Mus musculus: one gene and its partners. The protein of the gene in region 1 purifies or fractionates together with the protein of each later gene. This does not show direct contact. Links are inferred from orthologs where the notes say so. Each region holds a gene or a part of one and is shown in the gene's direction. Other genes may lie near its edges.

The links.
Region 2: the proteins of Vcp (region 1) and Hnrnph1 purify together in Homo sapiens (affinity purification with mass spectrometry, with the first as the bait; 3 studies listed by BioGRID). This does not show direct contact. The link is inferred for Mus musculus from reciprocal best matches to the Homo sapiens genes VCP and HNRNPH1.
Region 3: the proteins of Vcp (region 1) and Ppp2r1a purify together in Homo sapiens (affinity purification with western blotting; 4 studies listed by BioGRID, with this or other methods). This does not show direct contact. The link is inferred for Mus musculus from reciprocal best matches to the Homo sapiens genes VCP and PPP2R1A.

The regions. Positions count from the first base shown.
Region 1 is NC_000070.6:42,985,941-42,991,186, reverse strand, and holds part of Vcp (transitional endoplasmic reticulum ATPase), read left to right. Parts: intron 1-309; coding exon 310-441; intron 442-2,422; coding exon 2,423-2,525; intron 2,526-4,907; coding exon 4,908-5,041; intron 5,042-5,119; coding exon 5,120-5,246. UniProt on the Homo sapiens protein: Necessary for the fragmentation of Golgi stacks during mitosis and for their reassembly after mitosis. Involved in the formation of the transitional endoplasmic reticulum (tER).
Region 2 is NC_000077.6:50,375,279-50,381,183, forward strand, and holds the start of Hnrnph1 (heterogeneous nuclear ribonucleoprotein H), read left to right. Parts: upstream 1-2,399; 5' UTR 2,400-2,524; exon of another isoform or gene 2,525-2,580; intron 2,581-2,957; exon of another isoform or gene 2,958-3,012; 5' UTR 3,013-3,052; coding exon 3,053-3,149; intron 3,150-4,189; coding exon 4,190-4,345; intron 4,346-4,542; coding exon 4,543-4,686; intron 4,687-5,905. UniProt on the Homo sapiens protein: This protein is a component of the heterogeneous nuclear ribonucleoprotein (hnRNP) complexes which provide the substrate for the processing events that pre-mRNAs undergo before becoming functional, translatable mRNAs in the cytoplasm.
Region 3 is NC_000083.6:20,943,254-20,948,959, forward strand, and holds the start of Ppp2r1a (serine/threonine-protein phosphatase 2A 65 kDa regulatory subunit A alpha isoform), read left to right. Parts: upstream 1-2,200; 5' UTR 2,201-2,252; coding exon 2,253-2,330; intron 2,331-5,706. UniProt on the Homo sapiens protein: The PR65 subunit of protein phosphatase 2A serves as a scaffolding molecule to coordinate the assembly of the catalytic subunit and a variable regulatory B subunit.

The DNA.
Region 1 (5,246 bases):
ACTGTGAGAGAGCAGGGTTTCGGGGCTTTTGCTTTGTTTTGTTTTTCTTTGACTGGGTATTGTTGTATAAGCTGTCTGGAACTCACTTTGTGGCTTAAGCTGGCCTCACACTCAGTCTTTCTGCCTCCTTCCAAGTACAGAATTTACAGGCATGTTCCTGGCTTAAGACAAGATCCCTGTAGAAGAGAATCGTCTCACACAGCATAGTTTCTTCTACACCAAATAGTGGGAGGATTTGGAGAAATTGTATTTTTGCTGACAATACTATTTCTGTGGGGTTCTGTTTGTTTTGTACTCTTCTATATTCAGGATGAGGAGGAATCCTTGAATGAAGTAGGCTATGATGACATCGGTGGTTGCAGGAAGCAGCTAGCTCAGATAAAGGAGATGGTGGAGCTGCCACTGAGACATCCTGCGCTCTTTAAGGCGATTGGTGTAAAGGTGAGTATCCTAAGGTCTGTGGGGAGTCTAACATGCAGCTGACAGTGTATAATCAGTGGTGTGACTACCGTAAATAGCATAAAGAGGCAATAATAATCTGGGTTTATAGAAGGCTCTAAATTCATTAGAGCTATAGATTGTCATATGTGTGTATGTACACATATACACAAACATAATATGCTTAAACAACAGTTCTTATCTCATGAATCCTATTAAAATCTTAACCTTAATTTTGCCAATTTTTGTAGAACATTGCTCAATAAAAGAAGATTAATGGAATATTAGGATACTGAGTTAGATATTTGAGACCCACCTATCTAGAATATAGTTTTTGATCTTTTCTATGTGATAGAACACTAAAGATGAAGTGACTACTTTGCCTAGTAAGCATACAAGTGGTTTTGTCTTCATTGAGAACAGTTTCAGTGTCTTGTGCATAAGGCTGCAGACAACTTCCAAAAGGAAGTTGCAGTTGATTATTTTAGAAAAAAAGACACTCCTTCATTCATAGCACTCACGAGGCAGAGGCAGGTGCATCAATGAATTTGAGGCTTGCCAGTCATTTCTACAGAGAGAGTTCCAGGACAGCCAGGGTTACACAGAGAAGTCCTGTTTGTGTGTTATTTTATTAGAGAAATAACTGTTTTGAGAAAAAGAGAAAAAAAGACATTCTAAGGCTCAGCAGTTAGGAGCACTGACTGCTCTTCCAGAGGTCCTGTGTTAAATTCCCAGCAACCATATGGTGTCTCACACCCATCTGTAATGGGATCTGATGTCCCCTTCTAGTATGTCTGAAGACAGCTACAGTGAACTCACATACATACATACATACATACATACATACATACATACATACATACATACATACATACAAACAAATAATAAATCTTTTAAAGAGAAAAAGTAAAAAAGACATTAGCACATCATCAAACAACGGTTCTCAACCTGTAAGATAGCTCCACTGGAAATTACACATTTCTGGTAGTCTTAGGAACTAAGACACCACTCAGTAGCAAAATTAGAGTTATGAAGTAGCAACGGAAATGGTTGGGGGATCCTAAGACATCAGAAATAGGTGTTTTCCAGTGATCGTGACCCACAGATTTCGAACCGCTGACCTAGAAGGTTGAATACATGAGTGAAGAACTCTAACCCTGAAAATCTGATCTTGCTTTATTTAGTAAATAACTCGTATCCTGGTTTGTCAGGAATTGCGCCCTTGGTGTAATAACTTGTTACTTACTCTCCTTCCTTCCAGTTTTTATAGTCCCTAGGTGTGACTTTTTAAAGGTTGTTCACGATTAGTCTCCTATGCAAATTGCATTTATAAATGTTACCAGCTTTCTGGCATCACTTTTCTTTAAGTAACAGTGTATATGATTCATTAGTGTTTATTTCTGAGGAGTATGTGTCTGTTTGTTTGTGTTTGTTTTGGGCAGCAGAATCCTAACTTACTGTATAGAACAGGTTAGCCTCAAACTCAGAGACCTGCCTGCTTCTGACTTGAGAGCTGGGTTGAAGATTCAGACCACATCTGGCTCTTTTGTTTTTCTTTGGTCTCCCATTGTAAATCATTCTGGCCTCAAGTATGTAGTCCTTCTTTCCCTCCTCAGCTGGGATTATAAACGTATCTCAAAGGCTTGTTTGTTTGTTTGTTTTTAAATTACTATTTTATGTGTGTGGCTGTTAGTTCTTTTACGTATATGTGTGCACCATAAGCTTTCAGTGTCTGCAGAGACCAGAAGAAGACATCAGATAGCTCTAGAACTGGAGTTACAGGTGGTTGTCAGCCACAACCAATGGAAGAATAGCCAGTGCTCATAAATGCTGAGCCATCCCTCTGGACACCAAAGGCCTTTTCTTAATGGTATCAGTGTAGAGCCCTGATGCTCACCCCTCACTAGAGCTCTAGTCAAGCTAGTTAGATGGGTGAGTTGGGGAAGGTAAACTTCTGACCCTAACTGAACTTTGTTGTCCTCAGCCTCCTCGGGGAATCTTGTTGTATGGGCCTCCTGGGACAGGGAAGACCCTGATTGCTCGAGCTGTGGCAAATGAAACTGGAGCCTTCTTCTTTCTGATCAATGGTAAGAAACTTGGTCCGTCTAGACCCATTTCTGAGTTAGGCAACTCATGGAAACATTCACCTGCACCTATACCCTTCAGCATATTACAAAATTTATAATTTAAGGTTACTGTTTTTTCTACATGTCTGTGTATTATGTATGTGCAGTGCCTGAGGAAGCCAGAAGAGGGCATAGATCCCCCTAGAACTAGAGTTAATAAGTTATCATGAACCACTGTAGGTGCTGGGGATTATACTCTGAACCAAAACAATCAGTGCTGCTAGCCACTGAGTCTTCTCTCCAGCCTAACTTTAGCCATTTTTTTTTTTGTGTACATGTGTGCTAATATATAGTGGTATGCATGCACATGTGTGGTGTTCAGAGGATAATTTCATGTTCTTCAGGTACATACCATTTTAGAGACAGGGTCTCATTTACCAGGAACTGTATATAGATTGACTAACCAGACAGCTGCAGGAGTCTGCCTCTCTCCAGTGCTGGATTTACAAGTGTGTGCTACCATGCCTGTTTTTTAGGGATCTAACTTGGGTATTCATGTGTTTAAGGCAGACTCTTTAGGTCCTGAGCTGTCTCTATAGCCTCACTTAAACATTTTCTGATGAATGAGTATATTATGAGAAGATAAGCAATAAGGGGAAGGCTTTTTAGGGGTGGGGTGAAAAGGGATAAGAGTTGAAATATGGTCTCACTGTATGGTATTGCAATAATTTTAAAAGTGGCAGTATTTCTCTATCCCTGGCTGGCTCACAAATAAGCAAAACTGAATCTAAGATTTATTTAATTTAGCTTTACCGCACAGTACCTGGGAAGTCATTGATTTATTCTAATCTTCTAAGCTCATCTGGATACTTTGCAGCCAAAATATCTTCGTATTTGGTTGCAAAGTATCCAGATGATTGAGAGATTTGGTGCTCTGAGCTTCAGAGATGTCTCCAGGACCGTTTTCTCACTGTGAATTTTCCTTTCTTCCCCCATCTTCATACTAGTGGAAGTCCCGCCACCCTATTTTCTTTTCTGCCCAGCCATTGGCTGGTTAGCTTTTATTGACAAGTCAGAATAAATGGGGAACAACTATAATAAGCATTACAATGCCATGTCCGGATTGCAAATAGATACGGAAGCAGAGAAATCCGCATTTGAATAATGCAAGGGTAATCCTTTTTGTTTAAAAGATTTATTTATTTATCTTATGTATATGAGTATACTGTAGCTGTCTTCAGACATAACAGAAGAGGGCATCAGATCCCTTTATAGATGGTTGTGAGCCACCATGTGGTTGCTGGGAATTAAACTCAGGACCTTTGGAAGAATAGTCAGTGCTCTTAACTGCTAAGCCATCTCTCCAGCCCCACAAAGATAATCTATGCAGTACACAAAAATATTTTGCCTACAGTGTGGCCCTGGCAAATTCTCTTGTAGCCCACGTATGTCTTTTCTTCCCTTGCGAAGGATTGTGAATAAGCTGAAGACAGAGAAACAAGCTGTAATGATAAACCAAAAGTTTGTTTGCTTGTTTGTTTGTTTTGAGATAGGGTTTCCTTGTATAGTCCTGGCTATCCCAGAACTCACTCTGTAGACCAGGCTGCTCTTGAAACTCACAGATATCACTTGCTTCTGCCTCCCAAGTGCTGGGATTAAAGGCATATGCCACCATGCCCATCTAAAAGGTTTATTTTTATCTGAGACTAGTTGGGGAATATGGGCTGAGCTATCATTGTCTTTAGAATGATACTCAGGTATTAGGGTTCCATTGGGCCTTTTACCAAATCATTTTTGTCATATCCGCAGTTGGAACTGTGCTGTCAAAAGCATGTGGAGTCTCTTGTCTTCTCTTTGGTCTGGCCTGGTAGTTCTTACATGATAATGGGGGTTTGGGGTGGGGGGAGGCTATTAAAGACAGAAATTACTGCATTCTTATTCAGGACCTGTATTTGGGCTAGGGGAAAAAATATAAGTTTCTTTAGGGATTGGGGGAGGACAGATTTTTGTCATTGTTTTAAAAAAATAACTTCTATTTATTGTGTGCTTGAGTTGGAGAGATGACTCAGCGTTTAAGAGCACTGACTGCTCTTCCAGAGATCCTGAGTTCAAGTCCCAGCAACCACATGGTGGCTCATAACCATCAGTAATATGATCCGACGCCCTCTTCCCGTGTGTCTGAAGACAGCTACAGAGTACTCATAAATAAAATAAATCTTTAAAAAAATTTGTATTGTGTACTCATGCACATGTGAAAGTCAGAGGACAACTTGGAGGAATTAGTTCCTTGTTTCTTCTATGTTGGGTCCAGGATTAAACGTAGGTCATCAGGCTTGGAAACAAGTACCTTGACCTGATTAAGCCATCTTACTCCCCCTCATTGTCTATTCTGTATCTCTTCAGGTCCTGAAATCATGAGCAAATTGGCTGGTGAGTCTGAGAGCAACCTTCGTAAAGCCTTTGAGGAAGCTGAAAAGAATGCTCCTGCTATCATCTTCATCGATGAGCTTGATGCCATTGCACCCAAAAGAGAGAAAGTACGAACTTACCCAAGGGCATGGTGAGGACTTGAAAGGTCCTGACCTAGCTTCTGACCAGACATACTGTCTTCACAGACTCATGGGGAAGTGGAGCGTCGCATCGTGTCTCAGTTGTTGACCCTCATGGATGGCCTAAAGCAGAGAGCACATGTGATAGTTATGGCAGCAACCAATAGACCCAACAGCATTGACCCAGCCCTAC
Region 2 (5,905 bases), on another chromosome or scaffold:
TGCAACCCATGCCTGGCCCAGAAGCTGAACTTTTTCTGTGAGGAAGCTTTGTGTTGGACAATTTACATCAAAGGGAATGGCTATGATGTAGCATTTGCTCCCGTGATCAGATACAGATAGTTACATAGTCCCAGTATTAAGTTAGTAAGGATTAAAAGAAAGGGAAAGCCCATGTAGTGAAAGTCAGGCGTTTGCAGCCCTTGTACACAAAAGGATCTTCAAATCCTTCCATTGTTAGAAATTACACAAATACTCAGAGCCTTCTGCCAAACAATTGTCCACCAGAAAATCCTCATTGCGTGTGGTGGCACACACACTTTAATCCTGTCATTCTGGAGGCGGATGATCAAACACTTGAGACCATGCATGACTGCAAGGGGAGTTTGAGGCCGGCCTGGGATGTGTGCAATCAGGACTCAAAACAATAAGGAAAGGACACAATAAGGAAAGATAAAAGTTTTTATCTATGATTATACACTGCATTTTTCTCTTACGATGGAAAAATAACCTCCCATACAACTAGAATAGAATTTAGAGAAACATCGTAGGAATGTGGTTGTGTTGTCAGAAGGGAAACATTTCCCCCCCTTCAGGTGAGAGACCTGGATTGCTAAGTTGCAGTGACTCTCCCATCTCAGCATCTCAAGTAGATGGGACTACAGGCACATTACTGTGCAAAGTGAAAAAAGATGATTCAAACAAAAAACGGTGTGTGTGTGTGAAAATATAGTTGAGTGGTAGGACTGGTTTGCTCAAAGCCTTTCTAGTATGCATTGCTCTTCCCATACATCTAACCAACGATCGCAGGTCATCTAATAAGTATAGGGCTCTCAAATGGTGTGAATTAGCTAAAGAAGAGTAATCTTAGTTTCTTGGTAATCAATCTCATGTCCCAAGACCATGTAGGGGGAAATATACATGTTAAGCAAGCTCTCTACCACTACTATTTCTCTTGTCTTCTTTTTGAGACAGGCTTTCAGTAAATTTCCCAGGCTGCCTTGAACGCACTCTGTTGCTCAGGCAAGTCTTGAAGTTGCAGTTCTCCTCGGCTGGGCTTGTGTTCTTGCCTTTCACCCACCTCCTGGCCTGGAGACTTGGGAGTTCTCACTTTTCGATGATCTAAACTAGTGTTTTCTGTCTCCTCTAGATAGATCCTTTGCAGGTGAGGTCATGTGCAGTTATTCTCCCAGCCTGTCTCATCCGAGTTTCCCTTACACCTGAAGGTTCACGTTACACAGCTCCTGTTGCTCTCTTGAAGTCTTGTGATGCCCTTCTACTTAACACCCTTGCGCAGACTTAAAAGGTCTGAGTTCTGCACGCAGTCTCTGCACCTTTCCTTTGATGACACCCCCCCCTTTTAAAAAACAAACTGTTCAAACTGGATTTAGCCTCCTCAATGTTGCACTTGAAAGAAAAGCGTATTTTTGCCTGTAACCTCTTGTGATGGCTTTCAGAGGCTTACCAATTGTGGTACCTACCGTGGCACCGCCCAAACAATAACTCTTATTGTTAATTTCTAGGGTAGGTCAGTCAGATTCGGAGAAACTCGGGACATCATCCGTATTCTGCTATGTTGCAGGAATTCTCTTAAACGTCACCCATTTACCTCTGTAAGGGCACACGGGATGACCCGGGCGTGTCTCCACCTTGGGAGAGGCCCGTTGGTCGGTCGGGCGCAGCGCTCTGGGGCTGCGTCCTTCGCGCCCCTGGCAGTCTCAGCCTTCCCTCGCGAGGCGCCGCACACCGAGCGCCTCTCGTGCAAGGGCGAGGGGTTCGTAGAGTGCGAGTCCGTTAGGCAAAGTGGGGTACAGGACTAGCTCGGGCACTGGCAGCCCATGTGGGTCGGGACTGACCCCCTAAAGCGGGCAGGTAAGGGGACTGGTCCCAGGCGCCCCACGGAGATCGGGGATTTGGGCGCAGGGGGCGGGGCGGTACCCAGAGGAGGTTTGGCACAACCCGGCCCTCCAGCTCCTACGCGTTCTGAGGAGAAAGGGCATGGCTTCCTTTTCTTCGTGGTGTCTTTCAAAACCGACAGGAGCGCGGATGAAAAGCTGCGGATTAAGGGTAGAACTACCGCCCCTGCAAACCTGAACGAACTCTGGATTACTACCCAGTCCCTGCGGGGAGCTGATTAGCGCCATTCCCCTCCCCCACTCCGGCGGGTAGGTCTAGAGAACGGTTTGAAGGTAGCCGCATGCGCATTAAGTAAAACAAGAAACCGCTGAGACGCCAAGCGCAATAATTGCAAAAAGGCGCAGGCGCAGAAAGAAAAAAAAAAAACAACCAAAAACACCTCGGTCAGTTTATGAAGAGGGCTGAGCCCAAACGCATGCGTGTAATAATAGGACGGCGGGAGAGAGCTCGGGGTTTCTTAATACGCATGCGTCCAATCTCTCTGTGACGCAAGTGGGGCGGGGCCGGCAACAGGGTGCGCGTGCGCAGAGCTTGCTGGAAGGGCTTTATTTAGCCTGCGCAGGCGCCCGCTTATCATTTCTCCTCAGCCACGCCGAGGCTTTTTGTGGAGGTGAGTGACTTTCCGTCTTCGACTGCTGCCCGAGCTCTCCACGGACACCTCTTTGGGTGACGATTGCTTGTCGCTGAGCTTAGGTTCTAACCTGAGGGGCCGTGGCAGGCGCAGGCTGCCCCTGGGAGCCGCGAGTGTCTCGCCGGCGTGGCAGCGCCGCCTAGGCCTGCAGGCCGCGCCGCTTTCTATTGTGTGAGATGTCTGAGGAGGCGGAGCGGAAGCGGCGGCCGCCATTTCCTCGTCTCAACCGTGGCTGTGGGCCAGGGTCTTATTAGCTTGGCGCCTCGGCCCTGGGCGCACTGGGCGGCTTTGGGCATCGGGTCGCTAGCCGAGGCCGGGTTGCATGCTTGAGTCTCCGGGGCCCAGGCATCCTGACGGGCGGGACTCGCATGGCGGCGCCCGGTGCCCGCTGTGCGCCGTGAAGTGGGAGGGCCATTTAAATGCCTGTTTTCTCAGACGCGTTCCTGACCCCCACCCCCACCCCGCAGCCCCGCAATCTGTGTGGACGCCAGGACCACCGAAGGGACGATGATGCTGGGAGCAGAAGGCGGAGAGGGCTTCGTGGTGAAGGTCCGGGGCTTGCCCTGGTCCTGCTCCGCGGATGAAGTGCAGCGCTTTTTTTCTGGTGAGTTGAGGCGGGAGTTGTCAGTGGGGCCCGCGGCTGGGCCGGGCCGGGCCGGGTTGGGGCGGGGCGGGTCTCCCGGGCGCCCCCTAGCGAGTCGCGGCCACCAGCGGTTTCCCCAGGCGGCTCGCGCTCTGTTGGCCGCTGTTACGCAATGGTAATTGCGAAATCCGCACCCCCCCCAACCCCCTTGGGGATGCTGGTGGCCCTGCTGAATTTGTTTTCTTTTAAAACTTTTTCTGTCTCTATGCATCAATCTGTGCATTCTGGAGTAGTCTAAGAAAAATTTAAGTAGGGAAAGATGTGATTTCTTCTCAAGTCGTGTAAGGTTTTGTAAAAAGGTACTTGTAGTGTTGACCTTACCATCTGAATTTAGCTGTGGTAACAGAAAACGATCTGTAAATCGAGCCCCAAGTATACTGCAAGCAATTGCAGGGGGCCGTTGCCGTCCGGGTTTGAGTTGAACTGCAGCTTGGAGCCTTTAGTTGTTAACATTGGTCCCTTTTCGGATGAATATTGAGCTGGAGTTTGGATTTGAATGAAATTGTTATGTGGTTGCTGATAGAGGGAAGCTGACATGGTACCCAAACAAGAAAATGCTGTGAAGTCACCAGATCCAGATGAGATTATTCTGAGATAGTGTACCAAGAGATGGTTAATGGAAACTTAGAGGCAAGGTGGTAGCTTCATTTGAACTTTTTTTTTTTTTTTTTTCGAGACAGGGTTTCTCTGTGTAGCTCTGGCTGTCCTGGAACTCTGTAGACCAGGCTGGCCTCGAAATCAGAAATCCGCCTGCCTCTGCCTCCCCAGTGCTGGGATTAAACGCGTGCGTCACCACTGCCCTGCTCCATTTGAACTATTTTTGAGCATTGAGTTACCTTGTTGGACTAGGAATATATCCTGTATATGAGATAATTTGATCGTGTTCTGCTTGGTCAGTCTTTTTAGGCATGTTTTTTTTTTTTTGGTGTGTGTGATGACAGGAATATGCATTTTATCTGTAGTGGTTTTAAATCCTGTATTAAGCGTTGTTTTCTTTTCAGACTGCAAAATTCAAAATGGGGCTCAAGGTATTCGTTTCATCTACACCAGAGAAGGCAGACCAAGTGGCGAGGCTTTTGTTGAACTTGAATCAGAAGATGAAGTCAAATTGGCCTTGAAAAAAGACAGAGAAACTATGGGACACAGATATGTTGAAGGTTTGATTTACATTGCCCTAGTAACAGTAAACGTTTAAACACATAGAGGTCTTACCCCTTCTGAATTTTAGGTATTTGACCGCATGGAAATGGTCATCTAAGGGAGTTTATGGCAGCTCTTCCTAGTTATCTAAAAGCCCAGGAAATCTGAACTTTGTTCTCCAACTTAATTGACTAATTCTAAGCACCTCTTTCAGTATTCAAGTCAAACAACGTTGAAATGGATTGGGTGTTGAAGCATACTGGTCCAAATAGTCCTGACACAGCCAATGATGGCTTTGTACGGCTTAGAGGACTCCCTTTTGGATGTAGCAAGGAAGAAATTGTTCAGTTCTTCTCAGGTATGTAGTCCTGTTTGTTGCTGAGCAGTGAGGTATGGCAGCTTCTGGCGACATGAATTAGTATTAGTAGACCTTTAAAAAGTTGAATAGTCTAGGTACTTAAAGTAGGCTGTTGAATATATGTTGTTGAATTCACATTTTCTTCCTGGAGACCTTCAAATAACTTAAGCCCATCTTAAAGGTGGAAATTAGAAGTATTTCCAAAGTGTTAACTTTGCCTATATTTAGTATTGTAGTTCAGAGTAGACCTTTGAGGATTCTACTCAGCCATCTTAACTTCCTCATATTGCTGTTTAGCAAAGTACTTCAAGTTAAAGGTAAGCTCTTTTAACATTAGATTAGTGTGAGTCTAGATTGTTACAGTTTATGGTGTTATAACTTATTTTCCGTCATGGGACCAGAAATATTTTAGCTAGTGTAATTCTCTGTATGAAAATTGTTATGAAAGGAACTTGGCTTAGGTAGCCTATTAGAAGTCAAAAAAGTAAATTGTAGCAAGTGTAGGTTGAATGCTTGTAGTCTCAATATGAAAGCAGTATAGAAGTTTTTGAAGTTGTTCTGGGCCTAAAGTATTTGAATGTTTTTATGTTGAAGAGCTGATAGGATTTGCATGCTTAGCAGAATGTTAAATCTTGTATATTTTAAGTACTATTAATACTCTTGATGACATAGACAGAATTAATCAAATATCTTAATAGTTTTTAGCATAGTATGTATTAGAACTTTGACTAGAACTTTATATATGTATCAATTTGTAATATTTTATAGTTTGAAATCAAGTCTGTTTTGTTTTATCTAAATTGGTGAGAATTGAATGCTATCTGTCAACGTTAAATATGAACATAATTTCATATCTTCTAGGAAAGTGCTTTAAGGCCTTTTTGTAAGCTTGGGAATGTATCCACGGGAAGGATTTTTCATAGACGGAATTTCCAGAAGTGAATCATACTACTGTTAGAACATAAGAGTGCATGATTGCTTTGTAGATAGTTATTGTTGAAAGTTTAGTTTGTATGTTTGTCAATTATGATTTTTAAAATGTTTTCAATTTTTACATAAACTGTTTAAATGTGTAATTTTAAAATTGAAGTTCCAATAACTTAAAAAGAATTGAAATATATGAGGTTAAAAGGTTTCTTATTTTACTTAAATTGTTATTTTAATGCTTAAAAAATTTAAAGTTCTTGTATAATTCTATTAAGATGCATAGATTAAAATG
Region 3 (5,706 bases), on another chromosome or scaffold:
GTAATTTCTCTAGCTCCTCCATTGGGGGCCGTGTGACCCATCCAATAACTGACTGTGATCATCCACTTCTGTGTTTGCTAGGCCCCGGCATAGTCTCACAAGAGAGAGCTATATCTGGGTCCTTTCAGCAAAATCTTGCTAGTGTATGCAATGGTGTCAGCATTTGGAAGCTGATTATGGGATGGATCCCTGCATATGGCAATCACTAGATGGTCCATCCTTTCGTCACAGCTCCAAAAAATTGTCCATTCTTAAACTGAACCTAGAGTCTTGTGTCTCTGTCTCCAATTACCTTCCTTGCTAGGCCCTGTTGATGTCCAGCTGTGTTGCCCACGGCATAACTGAATAACATTTACTATTTCATAATATCCTAAAATGTAATCATTAATCATAAATATGACTATGTCAATGTCACTAAAAATTTAGTGTTTTTCAGCATAAGAGATAAAGGATACAAATTTAAAATCAAAAAAGTAAATAAAACCTTATTTTTTAGTTTTCATAATTCACATAAATTGATTAGAAATGCCAGTAAGCCCATTACCAATCACAACCTAGTACTAATTAATTAAACTTACCCTCTTCTTGTACTTGTTAAGAAATCCAGTGCTTCCTACAATGTTTAACCTAGGGCAGTTCAAAGTAAGACTAGAAAACTTTACTATATCTGAAAGGAGAGGAGACAGGCAAGAGGATGTTTTTTCCAAAAGATCTGTTAAATCAAAAATGGTCCAAGAAGGCACTGTTTGGAATTCCTCTCCATAGCCTCTCCTGAGTTCCCCAGTTTTCTGTTGATTGGTTTCAGAAACACATAAAGTACAGTATAGAAGAGTTCATATAAAGGAAAGAAACTGAAGAATGGCCAGAGAGATCATAAAAGAAAATACACTCACAAAGAATAGACAATGGTACCATTGTGCCAAACTCTTTTAGTGAGGTAGCGTATAAACTGAAGTTTCTAAGCCAGACCATTTGGATTAACTCTTATGGGATGAGGCAATGGTATGGCTGTCTTTTGAGGGTTACACCATAGACCTTTGACTGGCCCGGAGGTCACTATGTAGACCAAGATGATGTCAATCTCAGAAAGATGACAAGTTTTTGCTTCCTGAGTTTCATGATTGAAAGCATGTGCACTTTCACACATGGCTATGCCTTCTGTTCGTTATCACAAGACCAAGTGTTTCCTATTCAGGGCCAGAGATATGTGATCTGCATCATTACTTAGGAACGCCTACTCTCTGTGAGGGGGGGGGGGTTGTTTGTTTGTTTGTTTGTTTATTTCCACTCTCTGTGAGGGTGCTTTCTCAATTTTCTCTCTAATTGGAGAGGAAGAAGGGGGAAGGGAGGAATGGAGGTGTGGGGGGGAGGATGATGGAGGAGGGGAGAGGCGAGGGGAGTCGAAAGGAGAAAACAAAAATCAAGTATAGAAATAGCCACGCTTTAACAACCTTGATAGCATCTAACAACCCCGCTATGCCCACCTTCTTCCCTTTCATATTTTCAACCTTAAGGAGAAAGGATTGTGATAGTTTTATATTCGCCTTCTAAGTGAATCACAGCGCCCAAGCTCATTATGAGGCAGAGGTCCATCCTCAAAAAACTTTCGACCTTGTTCATTTTTTACTAGCTACCTAGAAGCTCCCCGGCAGGATGAAGACTCGCTCTGGCCGCTCTATTTCTTCCGGGTAAGGGGGGTGGGTAATAAAGCCTTGAACGCCAAGAGCCCCAGAACCGCATCCTAGAAACCAAGCAAGGCAAATCTCCCTACTTAGGAGTCCCTCCTTTACAGAGACCGGTATAGCAGAACCAGACAAGCATGTCCTTCATTACGTCACGCATAGCTCCCAAGACTCCAGCTTAAGTCTTCTCCGCCTCTCCCCAAGGGGCCATCTTAGCCACCTCCCACCCTCGACTCTCATTGGCAGCTAGACCTGCTTGTTCCCGTGGTTGCTAGCAGCGACGTAGGCGGGCACAATCTTGGTCACTAAGATACTTCACTTCCGGTTCCTCTCGTCCTTCGGGAAAAACATCTCATTCGTCCGGCCAATGGTGAATGAGAAGTAGGCGGGACTTGGTTGGTTCAGACCAAACAGACGCGAGCTTGTGCGGCAATGGCGGCGGGACGGCCCCTGTAGGGCGGCTCGGGCGCCCCCACGTCCGCTTTGCGTCCTTTCCCCGGCACCGCCCCGCCCGATCCCGGATTCCGCCTGGAGCTCGCTGCTGCCTGATAGAAACGCCAGGGAGCCAAGATGGCAGCTGCCGACGGTGACGATTCGCTCTATCCTATTGCGGTGCTCATAGATGAACTCCGCAATGAGGACGTTCAGGTACGGGGATCCTTCCGTTAGAGTGTGTGGGGGAGATCGGGGACGGGGATCTTCGCGGAATGTGGGAGCGATGGCTCCGGGTTCTCCGGGAGTGGCGGAAAGCAGCGGCAGCCAATCAGAATTCAGGTCTCATCTTTCTTAATAGCAAGGTTCGATGAGATGGCAGCCTTCATTGGGTGCCCGGCCAAGCGGAGGGCAAGCCTCGAGGGTCCTACCTGAGTGCGCGCGGCCGCCCCAGATCTGGGCCTGGGCGGCCCGAGATAGGGTGGCGGTCTTGTTGCCGCCTGCCAGTCGGTGATTGGCGGCGGACTCAGAATGGCTCTTTGTAGAGAATCGGCGGGGGCGCGTGACCTGCTGAGTAGAAACCCTCAGGGGTCCTGGCGACCCGGGTAGAGTTCCCATTGCTTTTAATGTTTTCGTTTTAACTGGAAGGAGTGGGGACTGATATTGGGATTGGGGACTGATACCGAGATTTCTGTCCATTCTTCACCGACCTCCACCTTGTATTTTGGGTTAGCTCTCCTGAAGGAGGAGGAAGGAGGCGGTGAAAGTATCCTCTCCTGAGATTTAACTAGCCGTAGCTGGGGTGGGTAACGTGCACAGACCCACCTGTTCTCCGACCTGGTCCCAAGCCGGCCTGCCAAGAGAGTTGATAGTTCTGGTTCATGGGAGAAGAATGAGCCAGGACCCCAGAGTTGTCGGACTGCTTTGGATTTGAAAAAGAGGTCAGACCTCAAGGCCGCATCCTCTCACCTGAGGATGACCTTGTGTGCACATTATTTCATCGCCCCTGGCTTCTGTTTTCTACAAATAGCGGCTAATAATAGTCCTGGTTTCCCTCGGTGGCCGAGGAAAAGTAGTAAAATGAAACTGGCTGTATGTAAAGGCTCTATAAATGTTAGCAATTATTTTGGGGGTGTGGCTATTGTGGCACTGTGCTACAGCCCTCTGCTTTTCCTTTTATATAGAATTGTTCATGCTGCACTCAGTCACCTTCCTGAACCTGGGCCTATCCTCTAAGTCTTACGTATTTATGTGTGACTCTGGTTCCATTGTTGGCAAGACTGGATTTGTACTCCTGGATCTTGCAATTTTTGCAAATTGACTCAGGCAGTCTGTGTTTCTCTTCTGTTAAATGGGAATAATAATCTGGTTTTGGGTATACTGAATGAATTTATTTGCATATGTTCTGTAAACACATGCAAAGCATGAGGAATGTTATTGGGTCATAAAGGAGACCAGAGCTTGGTATAGTGGTGCATGCATGCTAGCAATCCCAGCACTCAGGAGGCAAAGGCAGTGTCAAGGCTAGCCTGGTGACACTGTATCAAGAAAGAAGCAGTCTGGTTGCTGTACAAAGGCTAGATGTGAAACAGGTAAACAGAACTAAATCTGCATATTACCACATGTAAGAAAGAATGAGACTTGTCAATGTTGAAAGAGTGAATCAGCAAGTGTTTGCTGGGCCTTTCTTCAGAGTGGTATTTTGGATAGTTGAAGAACAAAAGAACAAAACTTGCCTTAAAGGAATTAACCTTTTAGTGAGTGGTCACAGATAAATAGGCATTATGTTGACTATGGAAAATTTTAAGGAGAAAATAAGAAATGTAGAGTAAGCATGGGAAAGTCTTGTTGAAATTTGAAACAGTACCTGCTTGTTGAAGGAGCCATTAGATTCTGGGCAGAGTGTGTAACCTCTAGACAGTTGGGTGAGGAATTAGGCTAGTTGAGGGAGGCTCCTTCTAGGATGTAAAGTTTAAAAAGTTGGAGATGAATCCAGATAGAGAGAGAGAGAGAGTGTGTGTGTGTGTGTGTGTGTGTGTGTGTGTGTATGCGCGCAATGGCTATAGTTCTAGTTTTTTGGCTCCAAGGGTGTTTAGTAATGTCTAGGGATGGTTTGGTTGCCACAACTGGGAGATTGTTGCTGCTTTTAGTAGGTTGAAGTCATGAATGCTGTTAAGCATGATTGCAGTATATAGGACATCTTTCTTAGGTAGGAAACAAAGATTTTAGTGCTAAGGTTGAGGGAAGCTGTTGGATGAAATGTTCACCTAGAGACAATAAGGAACTTGTCTAGCTTAGGTCAGTGTGCCAATTTTGTCAGGATCCTGTAACAAGTCACCATAAGTTTAGTATACAACAACATAAAGTTTTATTATGTTTCTGGAGATCAGAAGTCTGTCAGAGGTCTTGCTGGATGAAAATGACCTCATGACAGCATAGCCTTGAATTAGGCAACAGGGCTACACAGCTTTCTGCCACTTTACTCCAACATTCACAGTGCCATCTTCCTGAACAAAACAATGCACACTGTTGACAGAAAGAGTAGAGTGAAAGAACTGTCCACAAATGGACAGGAAGCGTGGTGTTCAGGACCCCTACTCCTAGACACAGTGACGGTGCAGATAGTCAGACTGCTTAGGTTCTGCTTGGGAACTCACTGCTTTCTATCAAGTGCTTCTTGTTTTGCATCAGCATCCTCGCCTGTTAATATGGTTTTTCTAGAAAACCTCAGAGCAGAGTATGAATAAACTACCTGAGTATACAGGGAACACTTTATAGATGATCCATGATGCTATTATTGCTGGCATGAAGATTATGAATGGAATGGTGGTTGCTCCCTGATACCATCCATTGTCCTTAGGGCTGCTGCTCACTGCTCACCAGTTGTCACCCTGGCCCATGCATTTCCCATAGTTCAGATGGAAGAGGAGCACAGGCATGTAAGAAATTGAGGGAAGAATGTTGAAAACTAGTATACAGGTCAGCAAAAGACAGCCTTAGTACCATATCCATCCACAGCCAGCTTTTGCAAGTAAAGTTTTGCTTGAGTGAAAGCCATGCCAGTAGCTTTATTAAGTAAAGCTTTGCTGGAATAAAAGACATGTTTGTTTGTTTACCTAGTGGTTCCTTCCCATTGCAGCTGTTGTGCTGTGAGCCCAAGTTGAGTGATTTAGAGACTGGCCTGTGAAGCTGAGAACATTTACCAGCAATTTAAAGAACATGTTCTTTTCTGGATACTCAGCAGTGCACTGAGCACCTGCAGGCTAACTGCCAGCATCTAGGGAGTGTTTGCTATATTTGTGGGGTTTTTGTTTGTTTTGTTTTGTTTTTGTTTTTGTTTTATCTTTCTGTAGCTCTCTGCACATTTTATAGTTTGAGTGAAAATAAATTTTGGGGGGCTTAGGGGTGGGGAGAGCGTTTATAGCACTTTAACTTGAGATCTTTTTACTACCAAAGTGAGATTTGGTTCCTCTTTGGTCCTTCCACTGTTCCAAAAACATGGTGACATGGAATGAAAACTGCTATATACATTTTTGTTTTGTGTTAAGGTATTGTTTTGTAACCTCAGCTGACCTGGAACACATAATGCCCC